4 linked regions of the Arabidopsis thaliana genome follow. The protein of the gene in region 1 purifies or fractionates together with the protein of each later gene. This does not show direct contact. Each region holds a gene or a part of one and is shown in the gene's direction. Other genes may lie near its edges. The genes, in order: AT4G08520, AT4G34450, AT2G34840 and AT1G30630.

The links.
Region 2: the proteins of AT4G08520 (region 1) and AT4G34450 fractionate together in Arabidopsis thaliana (co-fractionation; one large-scale study listed by BioGRID). This does not show direct contact.
Region 3: the proteins of AT4G08520 (region 1) and AT2G34840 fractionate together in Arabidopsis thaliana (co-fractionation; one large-scale study listed by BioGRID). This does not show direct contact.
Region 4: the proteins of AT4G08520 (region 1) and AT1G30630 fractionate together in Arabidopsis thaliana (co-fractionation; one large-scale study listed by BioGRID). This does not show direct contact.

Annotation. Positions count from the first base shown.
Region 1 is NC_003075.7:5,415,414-5,421,148, forward strand, and holds AT4G08520 (SNARE-like superfamily protein), read left to right. Parts: upstream 1-1,795; 5' UTR 1,796-1,975; intron 1,976-2,452; 5' UTR 2,453-2,473; coding exon 2,474-2,488; intron 2,489-3,329; coding exon 3,330-3,489; intron 3,490-3,694; coding exon 3,695-3,842; intron 3,843-3,929; coding exon 3,930-4,007; intron 4,008-4,639; coding exon 4,640-4,724; intron 4,725-4,822; coding exon 4,823-4,882; 3' UTR 4,883-5,226; downstream 5,227-5,735. UniProt on the Arabidopsis thaliana protein: The coatomer is a cytosolic protein complex that binds to dilysine motifs and reversibly associates with Golgi non-clathrin-coated vesicles, which further mediate biosynthetic protein transport from the ER, via the Golgi up to the trans Golgi network.
Region 2 is NC_003075.7:16,468,969-16,476,741, forward strand, and holds the start of AT4G34450 (coatomer gamma-2 subunit, putative / gamma-2 coat protein, putative / gamma-2 COP), read left to right. Parts: upstream 1-1,767; 5' UTR 1,768-2,987; coding exon 2,988-3,033; intron 3,034-3,257; coding exon 3,258-3,406; intron 3,407-3,508; coding exon 3,509-3,622; intron 3,623-3,712; coding exon 3,713-3,913; intron 3,914-3,992; coding exon 3,993-4,094; intron 4,095-4,528; coding exon 4,529-4,636; intron 4,637-4,716; coding exon 4,717-4,950; intron 4,951-5,089; coding exon 5,090-5,340; intron 5,341-5,472; coding exon 5,473-5,644; intron 5,645-5,717; coding exon 5,718-5,873; intron 5,874-5,944; coding exon 5,945-5,995; intron 5,996-6,177; coding exon 6,178-6,315; intron 6,316-6,394; coding exon 6,395-6,592; intron 6,593-6,673; coding exon 6,674-6,805; intron 6,806-6,889; coding exon 6,890-7,063; intron 7,064-7,259; coding exon 7,260-7,499; intron 7,500-7,632; coding exon 7,633-7,773. UniProt on the Arabidopsis thaliana protein: The coatomer is a cytosolic protein complex that binds to dilysine motifs and reversibly associates with Golgi non-clathrin-coated vesicles, which further mediate biosynthetic protein transport from the ER, via the Golgi up to the trans Golgi network.
Region 3 is NC_003071.7:14,700,506-14,704,894, forward strand, and holds AT2G34840 (Coatomer epsilon subunit), read left to right. Parts: upstream 1-1,982; 5' UTR 1,983-2,097; coding exon 2,098-2,271; exon of another isoform or gene 2,272-2,363; coding exon 2,364-2,453; intron 2,454-2,536; coding exon 2,537-2,688; intron 2,689-2,781; coding exon 2,782-2,917; intron 2,918-3,006; coding exon 3,007-3,162; intron 3,163-3,325; coding exon 3,326-3,405; intron 3,406-3,566; coding exon 3,567-3,660; 3' UTR 3,661-3,866; downstream 3,867-4,389. Other genes in the region: MEE25 (NAD(P)-binding Rossmann-fold superfamily protein), read right to left, coding at 4,287-4,389. UniProt on the Arabidopsis thaliana protein: The coatomer is a cytosolic protein complex that binds to dilysine motifs and reversibly associates with Golgi non-clathrin-coated vesicles, which further mediate biosynthetic protein transport from the ER, via the Golgi up to the trans Golgi network.
Region 4 is NC_003070.9:10,857,726-10,862,240, reverse strand, and holds AT1G30630 (Coatomer epsilon subunit), read left to right. Parts: upstream 1-1,918; 5' UTR 1,919-2,067; coding exon 2,068-2,238; intron 2,239-2,327; coding exon 2,328-2,417; intron 2,418-2,610; coding exon 2,611-2,762; intron 2,763-2,846; coding exon 2,847-2,982; intron 2,983-3,074; coding exon 3,075-3,230; intron 3,231-3,431; coding exon 3,432-3,511; intron 3,512-3,601; coding exon 3,602-3,695; 3' UTR 3,696-4,009; downstream 4,010-4,515. Other genes in the region: AT1G30640 (Protein kinase family protein), read right to left, coding at 49-132, 370-544, 721-944; MUR4 (NAD(P)-binding Rossmann-fold superfamily protein), read right to left, coding at 4,271-4,515. UniProt on the Arabidopsis thaliana protein: The coatomer is a cytosolic protein complex that binds to dilysine motifs and reversibly associates with Golgi non-clathrin-coated vesicles, which further mediate biosynthetic protein transport from the ER, via the Golgi up to the trans Golgi network.

The DNA of each region.
Region 1 (5,735 bases):
AACATTGTTGTTAACTGAAGAGCAGATGAAGCTTTTTCTGAATAATGATGAAAAAATCGAAGAGGATGTCTTGGAATTTTGAGACTATCCACAACCATTAGGACCAACAACATGCGTTTGTTGAACAAAACTAATGTCCACACAAAATATGAATCTCCCGAGCAGAGTAAGAATAGCCCATTTTTCATTGTTTTGTTTCCTCTCTATAAATAATTAGTTATCACTTAATTAATATTAATATCAGTTTTTTGGTCCTTCAAGATTTTAAGGAAGAGAGGCTAAAATGGTGTGGTGAAAGGAAGGTATGTAAATCAGACACTATGGGTCTTGTTTTAGTTATTAAGGCAATGGTCTTGTTTTAGTAACTAATCTTACTCCTAATACACATGATTATATGGTGGATATTTTAACTTTTGAGCGGAATAAGTTAGAGTCCAAATTAGCAATTGTCCAAAGAGTTCTCAATGGAGAAATAAACATCAGTCCCGATCTTGATGTGGTCTTGGAAAAGAATGGTTTTTAAAAATATGGCAAGACAGTGAACTCATCAAGAAGCTATGACTACGTCCCAGAGGATCTTATCTCGATGATTAGAGATCCTTCAAAATAGATGCATTAAAGGCATAATTAGATTACGTGAATAAAAGACTGGGTACTATCAACTCTGAAAGCCAGAAGCACTCTGGATCAATAAGCTAGATGATTTTGATAAAGCACTTGAGGTATGAATGAATTAGTTTTATGATTCTCCACAACAAATTATGTGTCTGTTATTTGAACTGAACTTTCTTAATATTGCAAGGACTCTGGTCAAGACTCTCAAGTTAATGGCGATTATAATATTTAGTGCATAGATGGCACAAATATAATTTCCATTCTTATCTATAAATGATTATGGTATAACTGTCTACCAAAGGTTCCAAAATTAGTATTTAACAAAAAAAATATTTCAAAAGTGAAATAAAATGTATACCTCCCATCTCTTAGATCTAATTTTAATTTTATTACATATTTTAAGGATATGCCAATTTTTCGATTTTTTGTTAGAGACAAGTTATCATATTTCAACATTTTTAGGTATCTTTATATAAAGATTTATTCTATATTTGGAAAATTATTCTTTCCTAAATTATTATTAAAATCTGAAACTTAAAAAATATATAAAAAATTAAATATATGAACTAAAATTTATACAATCTTTTTCATATAAATTGTGCTTTTTGTACCTCGGACCATAGTAGTTCTCTTTGCATCTGAAGTGTTGTTGTAACCGATCCGAAGATGGTAAACATTTACAAGGAAAATATTATTTTGGAGTGGGCCTTTATACAAAACTATCAAATCCTACCTAGCTCGGGGATCATAATTTTTGTTGAAAATGTTTGCATGGCGATTTGAAGCAGTAATATGAAATAGATTTTGATTGTTATCATCAACTTCCAATAGCAGGTCGAGACACGAACGAAGTAGAATTTCTACAAACTCAATGTATCCGGACTTTACGACCTCAACAAGTAAATTTTGAGGTGAAGAAGTAATTTATAATTTATCTTCGAAAATATTTACAATCCTTCTCATATAAATATACAAGTTTTTCCATTTTTTTGTTAGAGACAACTTTTCACATAATTATCTTTATTTTTTGAAATTTTAGTATTATATTGTTTTTCCAACTACACATTAATTACAAAATACTCCTTGATGAATTTATCTGAGAAATTTACCATATTTTGTTATATTATTATTAATTTAATTTTGCGTAAACGGGAGACTATACAATTAAGTTTGAGTTTCCTGATTTTCAAATGTTGGGTTTGTTTGTATAATTTCAAATGTTGGGGTTTAATTTGCAATATTCCCGAATCCCGACTACTCATTCTAAAATATAATCAGACCTTCGCGTCTTCTTTAACAGTTAGTTCCATACCATCGTCGCAAGCTCTCATCTTCTTCAGCTCAAAAAGCCATCTCAAAGGTAAAAGTTTCTCGAGTTTGTCTTCTCCGTTTGATTGCTTCTTCATCCCTATCGAGATTCGTATGATTTACGTTCTAATTTCGTCAGATCGATGAAAGATCCATTGACATTCTCTAGAGATCTGAATAAAATATTTTCTGTTATCGTTCACAGTTTTGATGAGATTTTTGTTTGGCTCTGTAGATTTCTAAGTTTTTAATTGTTTTCAATTTGCCATTATGATCTATCATTCTCATAGCTTCAGTAAGAGATCTGATCGTTAAGTTTTTCAGATTGAGAATCGAAATTTGACTTAGAGGTTATGTAGAAACCTTAATTTTAAGATCTTCCCTGATGATCTAGTACTCTCTTCTTAGATCTTGGTGTATTCAGTGCTAGTTTTGTTTCTTAGACTAAATGTATTAGATAGATTTCTCAGTTTTTGTTCTGTGTGTTTGTAGTGTGTGGTTATAACACTTAATTTATCACTATTTTCAGGTATATTTTGAATCAAAAACAATGGCAGGGACTAATGTAAGTACATCTCTAAGCTCATTGTATACTGTTAAGAATCATTATATTGTTGTCTGTAAATAGTCTTGTGATGCTTTATGGTTTGTTACACTTATGAGATTCTTTGCATTGTGGTGTAATATAATCTCCTCTGTTTGTGTATAAGATCACTATGTTAAGATTGATTTTTTCTTGTTTTGTTTGTTGAGTGGGTAAGTATGTTTTCAGAAGGTGTGACGAATCTTAGGTTCATGCCCCTATTGTTCTAAGATTGTTTGCATCTTTCAATCTGGAAGCATAATTAGGCTTTGTTACTGTCTAAGTAACATAAGTTCTGGTAGATTTTTGTAAACGTTCTTTTGCTGCTGAGAAAATTCCAATTGCTTATGAATCTGCTTTTGTGCAATATCATCATTTGTTTGTTGATGCAAAATAATTTGGATTCTATCTGTTGGAGCTGCCATTTGTCTGGTGTGTCATGTTTTTGTATGTCCTTTTGTTGGCCAGGTTGAATTTAACTAAAGCTTGTATTATCTTTTGTCCTAAGTGTTTTTAGCAAATTTATGTATTAGCATTTAGCACCATAGGTTTGATTGGCCTATCTGGTCAAGCCATAGATGATGAGTATTGAGTAGCTGATTTAGCTTTTTAGTTTGATTGGTGGCAACAAATACTCAAGAAACTTAGGCTTTGGACCCTGTGTAATTGTCCATATGATTGGTGATAGTTGGACTGGTGATCTTTATCTACTTTGCTGTTGTAGAAGTTCAAACTTACATGATCCATTTTAAGGATTCTCGCTTCTGCTTGTGCTTCTCTCTCTTAGTACTTACATGCTGACTATCTGGTCTACAATGAATAGGATTCTTGTCCTTTGGTAAAGAACATTCTTCTTCTAGACTCTGAAGGAAAGCGTGTGGCTGTCAAGTATTACTCCGATGATTGGGCAACTAATGCTTCCAAGTTAGCTTTTGAAAAATATGTCTTCTCGAAAACCTCCAAGACCAATGCTCGCACAGAAGGTAAGATCAAATTGAAACTTCAACACATGTACAGTATTTATATATGTAGTTCTCTGTTTGTTGTATCATAGGAGTATGAAAGCTTCAGATTATATTTTACTTGTTGGCTGTCTATTGGGTTTCCTGATTACATATGTGCATATTTCCTGTTTCAAACAACTTGTAGGTGTGTATAATTTTTTTTTTTTATGTTTACTTTTTGCAGCTGAGATCACACTGTTGGAGAGTAATATTGTTGTCTATAAGTTTGCCCAGGACCTGCATTTCTTTGTTACTGGAGGTGAAAATGAAAACGAGCTCGTCTTATCATCTGTTCTTCAAGGCTTTTTTGATGCTGTTGCGTTACTTCTGAGGTATTTAACCCACCTTAACAAATGACTATGTGCCTTTCTTGATCAGTGATATACGAAATTAAAGTTGAACATCCTTTCTCCTTACAGGAACAATGTTGAAAAGATGGAAGCCCTTGAAAACTTGGATCTCATCTTTTTGTGCCTTGATGAGATGGTTGATCAAGGGTATGCTACATATGCTTTCAAATACTATTCTACGATTTTTTTACTATGTTAAATTCGGAAATCTATCATTTTAGCCTTGCACAAGAGTTAAAAGATTACTGAGTTCGGAAATCTATTGCAACTCTTAAACATGGGTGTGTAGAGTTAAAAGATTGCTGAGTTTAGCTTGCTCTTCATATCTTAACAATTAGCTTTCTAATATGCTGATGGAGTTGAGCTAAATACGGACATAGTGAGATCTGGTACTTAGATACTATGAGAACTTATTGTTTGATCATTGATGAACAACTTCTGGCCGTGTGTTGAAGCGTTCTTGTTAAGTCTAGTGCAGAATATTTGCAACTAGCCTAAGGGGGGGTTATGGGATATGTAGCTTTGCCAATTCAGGAACAGACCTTACGTCCGTTAGTTGATAGCTGAAGACTTAAAAGACAGCTTAGAGAATTCATTAGGGGCATTTTGGATTTGTTGAGGGTTTTGGTTTGGGCATTGGTTGAGAGTGTAGAGACTTTTCTCGCTAATGAAGTCTCTCGAAAGTGTAATTCTTTAGTAACTAGATAAAGAAGTTTAACTGTTTTGAATCCCTATCACTGTGATACTCATCTTTGTATTGTCTTATGAAACTTGTTCAGGATGGTACTTGAAACAGACGCGAATGTTATTGCGGGGAAAGTAGCAATGCAAAGCGCAGAAGCAAGTGGTTCACTCTCTGAACAGGTGAGACGCAATATGACTACTACTAAACTACCTTCGAGCAAAGCGATAATCTTTATATCAATCATGCGGTTGACCATTTTTTGGATTTTGTATTGTAGACATTAACTCAAGCATTGGCAACAGCTCGGGAGCACCTTGCGAGAAGTCTTCTTACATAAATTTTCATCGTGGGAGCGAAATGATATATTCATAAGCCCTTGTAACCAACCATATCTGAAATGGTTACCCGTTCACTAGAAATCAACCCCTATTGACTTAACTATCTCATGACTTTGTTTTCTTATGGTTTTTTGGTGGAACTTAGATCTTTTATTCGCCTGTTCTTGCGGAACCATCTTTTTAAATGTGAGGATCAACATTGCACTAGTGATTGATTGCTTTACATATCTAAGACGGTTGATCTTAAGTGTTGCGATTTAAGATGGGAAATCTCTCATAAGCTAAGTCGTTCAGTGGCCCAATCAAAGTGGAAATAAAGAACGGTTTACCGTTTAGACGTCAATCCATCTGAAGAAAGCAGTTGACAGTGGTTCGAAATTGGTTAAGGAAAGACCAAAATCTGAGAGATGCAATCCGAATTTCTATAAAAAAAAACGCACATTGAGAATCGTATAAAGAATGTTTTACAATATGGTCTATCAACTTAGATCAATGCGGATGCAAGTTATAGAAAGTCCCGTAAAGTGCGAATGTCGTAATAGAAGCGGATATTCGATTTTTAAAAAAATAATATTTATTATTTGCTTCGATTTTTATGAATACTTTATTTTTCTATTTGTTTTGGTTTTAAATCTTACGGATATTCGGATTTTTTGAATCGAATTAAATTGAATATCGAATCGAAACTGATCGAACAAATATTTTGCCCGGCCCTACTTCTTATATGAAAAGTTTGTGCTACACCTTTTTTATAATTGGTTCTAGTAAAGTAATCTCCAATTTATATTTGCTCACAAATTTTTTGCCATATCTCTTAGTCTTTAGCTATCTTTTATTTTTTTGGGTCAAAAT
Region 2 (7,773 bases), about 11 Mb from region 1:
TATTGGTCTTATATAATTATGAGATTCTAAAAGTGTGATACGGTTAGGGTTAGGCGTATCCTTTTGTTACCGTTGTGATAAAATTTCCTTTTTGTTTCTGCTACTCAAATAAGAAAAGGAAACAATCAAAATTTCCTTTTTTCATTGAACAAACGTGTACTTATAAATACACCCCTTCTCTCTTCTTCCTTGAGAAAAGTCTCCATTCTCTCTTCTTCTTCCTGGAAACCTAAACCACGTAAGGATTTGCTCTGAATCTAAATATTGACGTGGAGAAGACGCGATCTTACTAATTCTCCATTCTCTGCTTCAACTTCACCGTAAGATTGAACAAACCTTTACTTATATATACCTCTTCTTTCTTGAGAAATCCAAATTCTCCATTCTCTCTTCTTCTTCCAAACCAAAACCTAATTCTCCATTCTCTGCTTCAACTTCACCGTAAGATTGATCGGTTGATAAAGCGGCTCTTTTTGGTGATTGATCTCTGTTGTGACTACATCTTAGGTCAATTCAGATTGCTTTCATATCAAGTCTCTCCTAATTTCACAAGATCAAAGATCCCGGCCATGGATTCAGTTGTCGACGGCGAAGGAGAACACAAACGACGACTAAGGATGCGAAAGTGGGAAAGAGGGATATAACGAAGACATGGACAATGAAAGCAACGAGCAGTATAGAACCAAATCAATGGATCATGATCTGTGTTTGGTACTAGGTGTTTCCTTGGCGTCGACGAGATCTTTTGAAAATCTTGTGTTTCGTCGATATCACAAGCAAAGGTATTTTCTTTTTTCCTTTTCTATTTTTAATGATTCATTTTTTACTAAATAAAAATTTATTTTTAGATTTTTTTATTAAGTGTTAAAATTTTCAATTTTGTGTAAATTAATTTAAATTTTTAACACTTGTTTTTGTTTTTATTAAAAACTGTTTTTAAACCTATATTTTTATACTACTATTAAAGTTTTAAGGTTTTTCTTATTAAATATTAAATTTTTAAATTTTGTGTAAACTAATTGGATACATCATCCAATCCCCTAAGAGGTGTTCTAGGTTCAATAGATGGTTTACACATCATTTAAATTTTTAACACTTGTTTTTTATATTTATTAAATAAATGTTTTTAAACCTAAATTTTTATACTACTATTAAAATTTGAAGTTTTTTTTTATTAAGTGTTGAATTTTTAAATTTTGTGTAAACTAATTGGATACATCATCCAAACCCCTAAGAGGTGTTCTAGGTTCAATATGGTTTACACATTATTTAAATTTTTAACACTTGTTTTTCTTATATCAAAAATATGTTTTAAACCTTTATTTTTATACTACTATTAAAGTTTTAAGTTTTTTTATTAAGTGTTAAATATTTAAATTTGTGTAAGCTAATTGGATACATCATCCAAACCCCTAAATAGTGTTCTAGTTTCAATATGGTTTACACATTATTTAAAGTTTTAACACTTGTTTTCCTTATATTAAAAAATGTTTTAAACCTATATTTTTCTATTACTATTAAGATCTTAAGTTTTTTTTTTAATTTTGTGTAAACTAATTGGATAAATCTTAACTCCTAAGAGGTTAGGTTCAATATGGTTTACATATAATTTAATTTTTCTTATATTAAAAAATGTTTCTATTTTTATTTTACTATTAAGATTTTAAATTTTTTTTTGTTAAGTGTAAAAAATTAAAATTTTGTGTAAACTAATTGAATATAACATTCAAACCTGTAAGAGGTGTTTATAGGTTCAATATGATTTATATATAATTTAAATAGTTTGCTATTTTGTTTAGAATCAAAATATTTTTAAATGACATGTTGTAATAATTGACCAAAAGAAATTAGTGTGTGATTTTGTTGAAATGCAGAGTACAAAGCCTTAATTTATACCAAGTTATGGTATCTATAACGTATATGAATACCAAAATTTTATTATTTTTAATTGGTGTTGTATTTTATAATTCGAAATAATTAGGGGAACGGGCAAAACCTCTCTGTTCTCTCGCTTATATTTTTTTTAGAGAGAAAGCAAATCAGTTTCAACGATCGGATATTTTCTGGTGTTAGCCGTCCTGACTTTTTGGGCTTTCTGTCCGATATCACCGGCTCTGGTAGCGGTGTTGGTTGGCTCTAGTCCGGCAGCGTCTTGTTCACATAACCGGTGGTTGCTGGCTCTTGGTTTCTCTCGTCGATGTAGATCGATTTTTAATCTGTGTTTTTTTATTTTCATGTTTTGTTTTTAATAATTCTCATCTGAGACATGTTGGTGATAGAGTGAATGCAATCTCGCTTTCTAATGCTTCTTATCCGATCTGTTCTTTTTTAAGTTTTGATTTACAGAAATTTTTGGAGAAATTTGAGAATGATGTTGAAGAAAAGAAGTGGATTCTGTTGTTAATTATCATAGCCTTAAGCTGTTGTATATTTAACATGAGCCTCGATTGCTTTTTATCGGTGAAAAAACAAAAAGATCCATGTTCTATGAGACTATCGACGGTGATTCTTTCACCGAAATCGGTGCTCAGACGGCGAAAATGAAGTCGGTTCGCTTTAGAGTACTCATCTGACACGTATATTAATATATCGACATGTGGTTTGGGATAGAGTCAAACTATAGTTTCTTCTTCTATGAAAGACTCTCTGTTGGCCTATTTGGTCCTAAATCGTTTCTGTAATCGCGGACTTTTCTTTAAGCTTTGACTATCTTGATTAATACAATATTTCTCTTGGGACAAAAAAAAAATAATCTTAGTATTTCTTTAATATTTTTTGTTTGGGTATGGGCTATTGGGCCGCTTCGAAAAGTTCACTTTCTCTATCGATCTCTCACAGTTTCTGAGTTCTCTGACTCAAAAACATATAGTAGAAGAAAACGATTAGAGATCTTCTTCTTTCTCCTGTTGCATCTGAAGATAAAGGAAACAGAAAGCGCGAGATCTGAGTGACGGAGTAATTTCAAAGGGAGGTTTTCGAGATCAGAAATGGCGCAACCCCTCGTGAAGAAAGACGATGATCACGACGATGAGTGTATGTGTTCTCTCTTAATCTCCTTATAATTTTCGAATCAGCTGGTTTTCTGCAAAATGTAGATCCAGATGTTAAGCTTCTAGATCTGTTATCATTCAACAGTCGTGATTGTGATTTGGTTGTGTAGATCTACAATCTCAAGTCCGATTTAGTTTTGTTTACCGCATTCGATCCCGGTGTGAATTGCTTTGCTTATTTCGATTTCTGATTTTTTGTTGGATCAGTGGAGTATTCTCCATTCATGGGAATTGAGAAAGGAGCGGTTCTTCAAGAGGCTAGAGTCTTTAATGACCCTCAGGTTGATCCTAGACGATGCTCCCAGGTCATTACGAAGCTTCTTTATTTGCTTAACCAAGGGGAGTCATTCACCAAGGTCAGTTAATTTTTTTGCTTATACTGATTCGATGTCATGCTTATGGAGAATTGAATTATTGTGTTCTTATCCTCTCGCGATGGTTGTTTGTTTCATATGCAGGTTGAAGCAACGGAAGTTTTCTTTTCAGTTACAAAGCTTTTTCAATCAAAAGACACGGGTTTGAGGAGAATGGTCTACTTGATCATTAAGGAGTTATCTCCATCATCTGATGAGGTCTGTAAATTTTACTCAATTTCAATACGAACATCGTCGCACTTATTGTAGGTATATTTTCTGATAAGTTGTTGGTTTTTTCGCCCATAGGTTATCATCGTAACAAGCTCTCTGATGAAGGATATGAATAGTAAAATTGATATGTATCGAGCAAATGCTATCCGTGTCCTCTGCCGGATAATAGACGGAACCCTTCTCACTCAGATTGAGCGATACTTGAAACAAGCCATTGTGGATAAGAATCCCGTTGTTTCAAGTGCAGCTTTAGTCAGTGGGCTTCACTTGCTCAAGGTACCTTTTACACACCAAAACTATTAGGTAGCTTCTTAATTGTAATGTTATGCTTATATTCGTATATTGCTGTTTTCAGACAAACCCAGAAATTGTTAAAAGATGGAGCAATGAAGTTCAAGAAGGTATTCAATCCAGATCAGCCCTTGTTCAGTTCCATGCCCTAGCTTTGCTCCATCAGGTTAGTTTGTTGCATTATTATCACCGAAGTCGATTGGTCTATGTTTCTACTCTTTGTTTAATTAAACAGCCACTGAGAAGAAGTATCTCGGAAAATGAGAGGTGTTACTATGTGTATTGGACTAGATTCATAAATAATAAGTTTTCTGTAGCAGCATCGTAGCTCTTTACTACGGCCTTTTCCAGCAATTTTAGTTTCTTGTGAGGTTTAATCTGTGTCTGGAGTCTGTCTCAGATACTGCTGATTCTAGCATATGTAACTAATTAGGTTGGTTAGGACAACCTATTTATGTGTCTAAGATGTACGAGTTACCAAATGATATGTATTGCTGCTGTTACGTTGATTTAAAATGACTCCCAACATGATACACTCTCAATCTTTGATCTAATAACTGTCAATCTTTGATCAACTTGATAATCTTTCATCATATTCAGATACGCCAAAATGATCGCTTGGCTGTTAGCAAATTGGTTGGTAGCTTGACCAGGGGATCTGTCCGCTCTCCCTTGGCTCAGTGTCTTTTGATACGTTACACCAGCCAGGTTATTCCTCTCTTCTGTTTGATCATTTGATAAGTGGCTGATTGTATATGTGTTATTTAGCTCTGGTTTCTAATATTCAGGTTATCCGTGACATGGCCAACCACGGTCAATCTGGAGAACGTCCGTTCTATGAATTTTTGGAGAGTTGCCTGCGCCATAAGGCAGAAATGGTGATCCTTGAGGCTGCCAGGGCAATTACTGAGCTTGATGGTGTGACAAGCCGAGAACTGACTCCAGCAATCACTGTTCTTCAGCTCTTTTTGAGTTCCCCCAGACCAGTGTTGAGATTTGCCGCTGTCCGGACTCTGAACAAGGTTTGCAATGCTTTCAACTGTTCTCTTTGTACATTGACACCGAAATGATGTTTTACTATTCTGGGTAGATTCATCATTACCTTTATCATGAGGATGAGGAGATATTTCACTGTATACTAAACACAAGTTTGAACCACAGGTTGCAATGACTCATCCTATGGCTGTCACCAACTGCAACATTGATATGGAGAGTTTAATCTCTGATCAAAATAGAAGCATTGCTACACTCGCAATAACCACACTATTGAAAACAGGGAACGAATCAAGTGTAGAACGTTTGATGAAGCAGATAACTAATTTTATGTCAGATATTGCTGATGAGTTCAAAATTGTGGTCGTGGACGCAATAAGATCGTTGTGTGTGAAATTCCCACTGAAATACAGATCCTTGTAAGTAAAGTTTTAGGGTTTGTTATTTGTAGTTTTGGTCTCGAGCATTTCTATTTTTTTGAATGATTAAATATGTTATGGTATCTTTTTAGCATTTGGCTTATGATTGATCTATCACCTTTTCATTTGTAGGATGACCTTCTTAAGCAACATTCTTAGGGAAGAAGGTGGATTTGAGTATAAAAGAGCAATAGTAGATTCTATTGTGACCATTATCAGAGATATTCCGGATGCAAAGGAAAGTGGACTGCTTCATCTATGTGAATTCATTGAAGATTGTGAATTCACATATCTTTCAACACAGGTAATTATTCCATCATCCATCTGGGGTTGCTATTAAAAACTTATGTGTTATTGAAATGTTTATTCTCGCACAGATCCTTCATTTTCTGGGAATTGAGGGGCCTAACACCTCAGATCCAAGCAAGTATATACGATATATATATAATCGTGTGCATCTAGAAAACGCCACTGTCCGGGCTGCTGCTGTTTCCACACTTGCAAAGTTTGGGTTTATGGTTGAATCCTTGAAGGTATAGTCATCATAACAACCATTATTTTTATTTTCCGTTTATCTTCTTTGACTGATGATAATGCTCGACAGCCCCGGATTACTGTTCTATTGAAGCGTTGCATCTATGACAGTGATGATGAGGTGCGTTCCTAGTCTTAGTCTAGAAAAGCATTGCTGTTTCTGTATGTCTGTTTGTTTTGAGTCGTTGCATCATCAAACATGCATGCATGTGTTTGCCTCTGTAAACATTTTCGGATGCATGCAATGCAAGTTGTTTGATGATTCCTTCCTTGCTCATGAGTCAGACATCTTTTTATCTTAAGGTCCGTGATAGGGCAACACTATATTTGAGTGTTCTTGGTGGTGATGGTACTGTTGACACTGATAAAGAGAGCAAGGATTTCCTATTTGGTTCCCTGGAGGTTCCTCTAGTCAACATGGAAACTAGTCTGAAGAATTATGTGAGTTAATCTATTTCTCGGTTTTCTCCTTTTCAATATTCTTAGGACATCAGTTATCTTATATCTGGGATTCCTGCAGGAGCCCTCTGAAGAAGCTTTTGATATCAACTCCGTACCTAAGGAAGTTAAATCTCAGCCCCTTGCAGAGAAGAAAGCCCAGGGTAAAAAGCCCACTGGTCTTGGTGCACCACCAGCTGCACCTGCTTCTGGTTTTGATGGCTATGAAAGACTTCTCTCATCCATTCCAGAGTTTGCCGCCTTTGGAAAACTTTTCAAGGTTAGGGGCTGATTTGTCTTCTGTGTTATTCTAATGTTAATGGCTTATCTTGTTTGCTTTAACTTGTACTTTCTTTTTCAGTCTTCTTTACCTGTGGAGCTAACTGAAGCAGAAACAGAATACGCTGTCAATGTTGTTAAGCATATCTTTGACAGTCATGTGGTGTTTCAGTACAACTGCACTAACACAATACCAGAGCAGTTGTTGGAGAGGGTACTGAACATTGGTGTAGAATATTAGTGTCAAGCATATCTTATCTTTCTTTCCTCATTTAATTAATTTGGCATGGGGTTGTAGGTCAATGTCATTGTAGATGCTTCAGAAGCTGAGGAATTCAGTGAAGTAACTTCAAAGGCCCTAAACTCACTTCCTTACGATTCACCCGGTCAAGCCTTTGTGGTTTTTGAGAAGCCAGCTGGGGTCCCTGCTGTTGGAAAGTTCTCCAACACATTGACTTTCGTTGTTAAGGAGGTACATGTTAAATAGGCTATTCACTTCCATCTTTTTATTTACTTACACTGAAAATGACCCCATAATACTTTGTGGAGAACTCTTATAAACAACGACTCATTTGGAGAGGAGTACCAGAACGACTCAAATTAATCACAGAAAACAAAGAAAACTCTCTAACTACATTGTTTGTGCTTTTATGAATGTGTTAAAACAGGTTGACCCAAGCACAGGTGAAGCAGAAGATGATGGAGTAGAAGATGAGTACCAGCTAGAGGATCTTGAGGTTGTAGCTGGAGATTACATGGTGAAAGTGGGTGTCTCCAATTTCAGGAATGCGTGGGAAAGCATGGATGAAGAAGATGAGCGTGTAGACGAATATGGCCTTGGCCAAAGAGAGAGTTTGGGAGAAGCTGTAAAGGCTGTCATGGATCTTCTTGGCATGCAGACTTGTGAGGTTAGTCTCTTCCACTTTTTTCTCATACTCTACTGAGACTTGAGGGCTAAAATTATTGTTGATAAAGTCTTTTTTGAGTATATGACCATTTGTTGTGTTCCTGAAATTGAAACTGACACTGGATAAATAACAGGGGACGGAGACAATTCCGCTCAATGCAAGGTCACACACGTGTCTATTGTCAGGTGTGTACATAGGCAACGTGAAAGTGTTAGTGAGGGCACAGTTTGGAATGGACAGCTCAAAGGACATTGCAATGAAGCTGACAGTTAGA
Region 3 (4,389 bases), on another chromosome or scaffold:
CGGCATGAACTTATATATTGTTTACTACAATAATTAGACCATACGGTGCAAAAATTAAAACAAAATAAGTCATGCATCCCTCGTTCTACGGTGACGCATGTTGATGAACGGATTCTATAAAAATAGTAATATTTAATATCTGTTATCCAGTCAGATATATTTAAAACAATATAAGAATTTAAATTGACAAAGAAAGATAAATCTGATTAACCACGGAATATGTGTGTTTAGATTGGTAACGTATGATTAGACACATCAATGCTATTTAAAAGATGCATATGATGATAACTTTTAGAAGTGAGAAGGCCTTTGGATTATTAGGGATTACAAATAGTAAACTTATTATAGATTACTTGAGAAAAGAGATTCATTAAAACAAAATTTGCATAAAGTAAGAACCAAACTAGAGGAGCTTATTCCAAGAAGATGCATTTTACATTTAAAAGGTGCATGTAATTAATGTCTGATAACCATAACTCATTAATTATTCTAATTCAGCTAAAAGCGAGCCTAAACCCATTACACAGAGAATTGCACGAATCACAAGTACACAAATTGATAGAACATTTAGACTTTAGAGGTTGATATTTTTTGATAAACTATAGTATTGATTTATGTTATTAATTGGGTTGTGTAGCACGAGGACTTCTTTGAACATGTGAAATGAATATTGACTTTACGTAAAATCGACCATGCCCTTTAAGTGTTCCTCAAGTTCATACAAAAACAACAGTCATACTCTTATATGTATATTATAACATGATTTAAATTTGAACTATGTTTATTTAACTATATCCTATATATAATTATTACGATTGAGAGATGAGAAAGTTTGTTACAGATGAAGAAGAAGATATTTTCCCCTTAAATTTCTGTAAATGTATTTTGTACAAGTATATATACGATGACAATACAACCGGTTAATATAACCCGCGTAATACAAAATCAATTAAACCGATAAATTAAATCAACACTCTCTGATATGACCCCTCAATATGAGGATTCGAAAATGTTGAGAATGCTCATCTTGGACTTTAGATGTTCAAACTGATGTGAGAACAAATGTTTAGCAAAATATCAGCTATTTGATCATCCGTGGGAACATGAAGCAGTTTAAGCTCACCATCATCCAACTTGTCACGCACGGTATGGCAGTCAATCTCAATATATTTCGTGCTCTCATGGAAGATATAATTGATTGCAATATAGATAACATCTGTACTGTCTGAAAACAAGATAAGAATCGAAGTAGTATCCGTTTAAGATACGAGCAATGTATGCAACCAAACCAACTCACAAGTAGCAAGAGCTAATGCTCAGTATCTAGAAATAACATGTTGCTTCTTAGATCGACATGAGATGATTTATGAAGAAATTTGAGCTTTGATGGCTCTAATACCATATTACGATCGAGAGATAAGAAAGTTTGTTACAGATGAAGAAGAAGATATTTTCTGATTAAATTTCCGTAAATGTATTTTGTACAAGTATATATACAATGACTATTCAACCGATTAACATCACCGTAATACAAAATCATCTAGACCGATAAAACTAACCTAACACATTCTGATAATAACAAATATGAATTTATTGATTTTCTTTTAATTAAGAATAGCTCGTTCAACCAAATGTTGACATCTTTTTTTTTTTTGAACACTACCAAATGTAGACATCTAGTACACTAATTCAACCATGTCTGTCGTCTAATACTATTTCGAGTAGTGTGTGATATGCTTAATATATAAAAAAAACTTGTTCACGTTTCTGATTTTAAAACATAGACTGACCAAAAGCTCACAACACACAACTAGATATAAAGCCCAGGAGTCAAACAAAGAACCTGATTCGTTATTTTGCCGCACAAGGCCCAAATCAAATTAGTGATGTTACTTGAACAGTTCAAAAAGAACTGGGATTATTATGCATTCAGTTTATAACTTAAGGGGTTATTATGTTATTAACCCGTTTACTTTCGTTTGGATTTTGGAATTAGACGCGAAGCTGTGAAATCTAGAAGAAGAAGAAGAAGAAGAAGAAGAAGAAGAAGAAGAAGAAGAAGAAGAAGAAGAAGAAGAAGAAGAAGAAGAAGAAGCAATGTCAGCCATGGGAGCAGGACCAGATCACCTCTTCAACCTCAGAAACAATTTCTATTTGGGAGCTTATCAAACGGCGATCAACAACAGCGAGATCGCCAACCTCTCGCCGGAAAACGCCGTGGAACGTGACTGTCTCGTCTTCCGATCTTACATCGCCCTCGGTAGCTATCAGGTTACTTCTCTAATCATATCGATAATGTCTTCTTCTTTAGATTCGATTACGTTTTGTTTTGATCTGTTCTTCCAAATTTTGGTGTGTATAAGCTTGTTATCAGTGAGATCGATGAATCAGCCGCTACTCCACTACAAGCAGTCAAACTCCTCGCTATGTATCTATCGACTCCTCAAAATAAGGTAATTACGGCTTTGATTCGTGTTCACGAAACATGTTGTAAAGAGATTCAAATGCTTATATGGAACGATTGTTATTGGTTCAGGAATCAACAATTTCAAGCTTGAAGGAATGGTTAGCAGATTCAACAATAGGAAACAATGATACATTACGATTGATTGCTGGTATTATTTTCATGCATGAAGAAGATTATAATGAAACTTTGAAGCATACTCATGCTGGAGGAACTATGGATTTGTAAGATTTTTTCGATTTTTATTTGGTGGATTGAGTATTTATACTGTGTTTTAAAACATGTTCTTAGATGGCTCATTGCTATTGTTTTTCTAGGTATGCCTTGAATGTTCAGATATTCATTAAGATGCATAGAGCAGAGTATGCTGAGAAGCAGCTTAGAGTGATGCAACAGATTGATGAAGACCACACTCTCACTCAACTTGCTAGCGCTTGGTTGAACCTGGCAGTGGTATAATGCGAAATATTCAATGTGTTCTGGCTTATTCTTTCAAAGAGTTGTGTATTTGCTTCTTATGCTAAGGCGTTATTTGATTTCAGGGCGGTTCGAAGATACAGGAAGCTTATCTCATTTTCGAGGATTTTTCTGAGAAGTACCCAATGACATGCTTGATCTTGAATGGCAAAGCTGTTTGCTGTATGCAAATGGGTAACTTCGATGAAGCTGAAACACTACTTCTTGAAGCACTCAACAAGGTAACTACAAATTAGGCTTGTGTACCTTAAATTTGCTCTGTACATTAGCATTCTCGGGAACAATATGAAACTAGGGACCTCTCTAAATTTCTCACACTGCACTTGTCTCTTGGCTTTTCTGTATATGGGGAAGTGTGTTTATACTAATTTGTGGTGATTGCAGGATGCTAAAGATCCAGAAACTCTTGCAAATCTTGTTGTGTGCAGTCTTCATGTCGGGAAGTCTTCTTCACGCCACCTAAGGTAAATTTTCATTATCTACTCTTATATTAGGCATCATTTGCCCAATCAATCAGTAGAACTCACTGAAAAGTTAATCGAGAGTAACTGTGTCCTTAATCCTAATAAAAACATTGGTCGGTCTCGTTTGTTAACTTCATTTGTATCACCTATCCTTCTTGCAGCCAGCTAAAACTTTCACACCCGGAACACATACTTGTGAAGCGTGTATCATCAGCTGAAGATAACTTCGAGAGAGCAGTTCAATTGGTCGCCTAAAGACTCTTCCATGGTTCAAGCTAAAAGACGTGCAGGATTTGTTTGCTTTACCGCATATTTTCACCGGGTTGGTAAATCTACCAGAACAACCATACTGTCTTGTCTTTTCGAAACCAGTATATGAACCAGCTTTTGCCATTAGATATGTTAAGTTACATTTCATTACTTGAAAATATCAAATTCCACCTCTCGCACTCTCAATTCCGTTTGTCATTTACTTAATTTCGAACCTAACCAATCCAGATCGTGTAACTCAACCCGAAACCTTGAGTGAATTCAACCGATCGTTTGAATCCAAACTAGAAATACCAAAACAAACAAAAGCTTCTCACTTGGAAATACTTCAATTTTTTTCCAACCAATGATTTTCACTTTTTACACAAAGAAGCGACATATGTCTTCCGTTAGGATTTTGATAAACCTCAATCACAATAAAATAGGTGATTGACATGGATGATATTTTATTAATCAATAATCTCATATATAATCTCTATATATGGATAAGATGAATACTATTCTACTAAGAATAAATCCATCTTCTTCTACTACCTTCACTACCATCTAGAATCAAGACTCTAATGAAGGAGTCCTTGAAGGGCAATGCTCACATACCTAATGCATAATGGTCAGTATGCAGAAACCAAGGAAGAAGATCCATAGCCACTGCGATGAAGCTTTTGCCATCTCCATGCCATCTTTAAACTTTCTTGAAGATTGGTGTGCTTAGCT
Region 4 (4,515 bases), on another chromosome or scaffold:
ACAACTAAACTCTTTGATTTGGAGAGATGCTATCAGATAGTGCATTACCTGCCCTCGTCGAAGCATCTCGGATTTCTTTAACTTTTTCATTGCATATACGCTTCCAGTAGATTTTTCTTTACAAATTCTCACCTGGACAGAAATGAAATAATATTAAATCAATACACCAAGTAAAATCACTAACAGAAGCTTTGGTTCATAGAAAAAGAATAATAGCTAGTTATCAGTACTTCGGTAGCCAGTAAGAGAGCTAAAAAAGAAGCAACATCAAATTTTATATGTAAAGATGAGACAAGATATTAGCTAAGCTTACAAAAAGGAAGTGAAAAATAAGAGAGGCAACCACAAAGAACACATAAAGAGATATACCTCACCGAAAGCACCCCGGCCAATGATGCTAAGCAGTTCAAAGTCATCAACCCCCATTTTCTGTCTTTGTAGACGCATATACTCCATTTCCTTTTTCTCAAAGTTCTTTAATATATCCATCTTGTCTTCAACAGTAACATCAGCATCAGCTAGGTTTTGTTCCAAGATGCTCCGACTGTATTCAAGAGCGAGCTGATATCAGAAGGTTCAATCTAAACCAGTAGCAGATTAATTCCTAAATCAGACCCAACCATCAGTACTAGAAAATAAGACTACTCTGAAGTTCCATTTGTAACAACTAAAGCACAAGAAGTAAATATTGGCATCACAAGAAGAATCCCGAGAACGTACCGCTCTTTTCTTTCCTGGAGACTCTTCTTCTGAATTTTATAATGATTCTCGATATATTGCTTCGCTGCAGCAACTTTCTGTTTAGTAGCATTAGATGGTGCATCATTCATAGGAGGTCTCCCAAGATTCTTCACATTTCCCTCTTGTCCCTTTTTAGTAGGGCTTGATTTATCCGGTTTCTGCTGCCGTATCTGGAACCAGCTCCTTGTAGGCTCCGTAGCCATTTCAATCCAATCTAATGCAAATCACTTCATAAAACCTGCAGAAAATCAAAACAAAATTCCAAAACCCAAATGCTTCAAAACTAAATCAAATTGATGACAAATTCTTGTCTAACAACGCTGGTCAACACCTAAAATCTCACCGTAAATTCCGGAAACAATATTAAAACTTTCACTTCCAAGTTAATTCCACACGAATCGATTTTAATCACTCTTGACATAGAGATACATATACATCTAGTTCTGGATTGTGGATTGCACGCATGCATTCGAATCAAAACTTGCTTATAATCAAATAGTTACAAACTCCAATTCCAAACAAGATACGCACAAACACCATGCGAGATTGAAGAAGAAGAAAAACGAAAAGTCAAACTATTCACAAAGAAAAAGTAAAACTCGATCGGGGAAGATGACAAATTTCGCGAAAGGATCAAAGAAACTTACATCAACAAAACAACAAATCAGAGAGATTTTGATTTTAGCTCTCGCTTCGAATTCGAACTGTTGCTTACACGCATTCACTTAAAACGGAATTTTTTTAATTAAAAGATCTCAAAAGGGAGAGCAAAAACGGATTACGAACTAATAACGTTTTTTGGGCAAAGCGTATTTTATCTTGAAGCAGTAAACGCCGTTTAAGTTACAGTCACGATGACTCGGTGGCTGATTAAAACCAATACTGGTAAACCGGCTTTTAACTATTCCCGGGTCATTTATTGGGGAAGCTAAATGACACGTGTCAGTAAATTGTTGGATTTGTTTGTCGACATAACGTGACAGCACGATTGAACGGAGTGGTTTGCTAACGTCATTAGAACAACTCCCGCGCGAATTGGATAAAAACGCGTTTTATTGGTAAGACAAGATTGTCACCGTCCGTATGTAGGAGACGTGTAAAGAGAAGCAGAGTGTCGAACTAATTGGGTCATCGAAAAGCCCATTGGGCCTAAAATAGATAACAATGAGTGTCAATTGTAACATTCAAAATGTATGGGGCTTTATGTACATCTTAAGGCGTCATATTTTTTTGGTTTTGATTATTCACACTTCAGTTTTCTTTATTTTGGAGTTAGACACGGATCTGTGAGATCTAGAAGAAGAAGAAGAAGAAGAAGCTAAGACAATGGCATCCATGGCAGGACCAGATCATCTCTTCAATTTGAGAAACCATTTCTACTTGGGTGCTTATCAAGCTGCGATCAACAACAGCGAGATCCCTAATCTTTCGCAGGAAGATATCGTCGAGCGAGACTGTCTCGTCCATCGCGCTTACATCGCTCTCGGAAGTTACCAGGTTTTGCTTCCGTCTCGTGTTTTTCGATTTGGATTTCAATTTGTTTTGATCATTTGCTGATTTACGTTTTTCAAATTTCGTCTTCGTAGCTTGTCATCAGTGAGATCGATGAAGCCGCTGCTACTCCTCTACAGGCAGTGAAACTCCTTGCTATGTATCTATCGAGTCCTGAAAACAAGGTAATTCAAGAGATTTTGAGATGTTTCAATTCATCTTCTGTAACGTTTGCTTAGCGGAATTTCAGATAACTTTAGTAGAATTCTAGGATTCTTTTGATGATTTAGCTTCAGAGATCCGGAATTGAATATATCTTGATCTTATTTTAGTGATCTGCATTGTTGAATACGTAGTTGTTTCTGTGATTTTGGTTAGGAATCAACCATTTCGAGCTTGAGGGAATGGTTGGCAGATCCAACTGTAGGAAACAATGCTATTATCAGGTTGATTGCTGGTACTATATTCATGCATGAGGAAGACTATAATGAGGCTCTGAAGCACACTCATTCTGGAGGAACCATGGATCTGTGAGCTTTTCGATTTGTTTTGTCTTGTCACAGCGATCTCTTTTCGTTTACTCGATAAATGATTGTTGTTTCTGCATATTTTAGGCATGCTTTGAATGTCCAGATATTCATAAAGATGCACAGATCAGATTTTGCGGAGAAACAACTGAGAGTGATGCAACAGATTGATGAAGACCACACACTCACTCAGCTCGCGAGCGCGTGGTTGAATCTGGCAGTAGTATGATATGAATATCCATTTCTTTTTTCCATATAGTGTAGAGAAGTTTGTTAATGTGTTTCTTAATATGAAATTGTTCTTTATGATCTCAGGGTGGTTCCAAGATACAGGAAGCTTATCTAATCTTCCAGGATTTCTCTGAGAAGTACCCAATGACAAGCTTGATCTTGAACGGCAAAGCAGTTTGCTGCATGCATATGGGTAATTTTGAAGAAGCTGAGACTCTACTACTTGAAGCACTCAACAAGGTGAGTGATGAACCTACTCTTTCTTTCCTTAAATCTGTATCGACACAACCCATTCTCAATATCATGTCATCGGAAATGCTCACTCGATTTAAATCTATGAGGATACTTGAAAACTCCTTACACCAAATCTAAACTTTTCAACTATTCCGTTTATTATAAAATGGACAAGTTTGAAATCATAGATGTTTATTCTCATTGCAGGATGCTAAAGACCCAGAAACTCTTGCAAACCTCGTTGTATGCAGTCTTCACGTCGGGAAATCATCTTCTCGCTACCTAAAGTATAAATATTCATGACCTTTTGCATTTTCTGCATAACAACAAGTGCATCAGTAAGCTGACTTATTCCTCCATTTCCAATCCTTTTGCAGCCAGCTGAAACTTTCACATCCAGAACACGTCCTTGTGAAGCGAGCAGCATCAGCTGAAGATAACTTCGAGAGAGCACTTCAATCTTTCGCCTGAAGTACCTCAAAGTCCATGGAATCAATTTGCCTTATGATCTACCAGAAGAACATCATATTATTACCGACCCTATCTTGAAATTATCATAGATAAACAGTTTTTTCCATTGGATATGTTGCATTTTACTTTGATTTCTCACTGAAGCTTTTGTTTTCATTGAGTTTCGAATCCAACAGAACTACAGATCTTGTTCCTTGAAATCCAGAATCTCCATAACTGATGAGACAAAAGGCAGACTTTTGAAAACGAAACATTCGCTAATGTATGCAACACGGAGCTTAGATCTAAATTCCGCTTTACAAATTAAAAGCCAGGAATGCTATATATTATTAAGACTAATCAATAAATATTGTGAGAGGTACATATACTAATGAATGGCTGCTTCCTAAAAGAACCTAAAGCCATTACAAAATGAATATCAATCAAAAATCTCGTCATGTGATATCATTTTTTCATAATATGGATAATATATCTTGTGTTATATTTATATATAAACCATCATCATCTCCTACGCTTCTCTCCTCAATACCATCTGGAATCAAAATCTCCGTCCATCACCAAAGGAATGAACAAAGTCAGTAAACCGAGACCGATGAGGTTGTTAAGCCATAGCCATTACGGTGCAGCTTCTGCCATCTCCATGCAGTCTCAAGACTCTCTTTGAGATTAGTGTGCTTAGCTGTCCAGTTAAGTTCCTTCCTAATCTTGCTTGGATCACTGTAAACCTCAGCGTAATCACCTGCACGTCTAGGCAAATAGTCGATCTTGATCTCAACACCAGTTGCTTTCTTGCACGCCTCAACAAACTCTTTCACCGAGC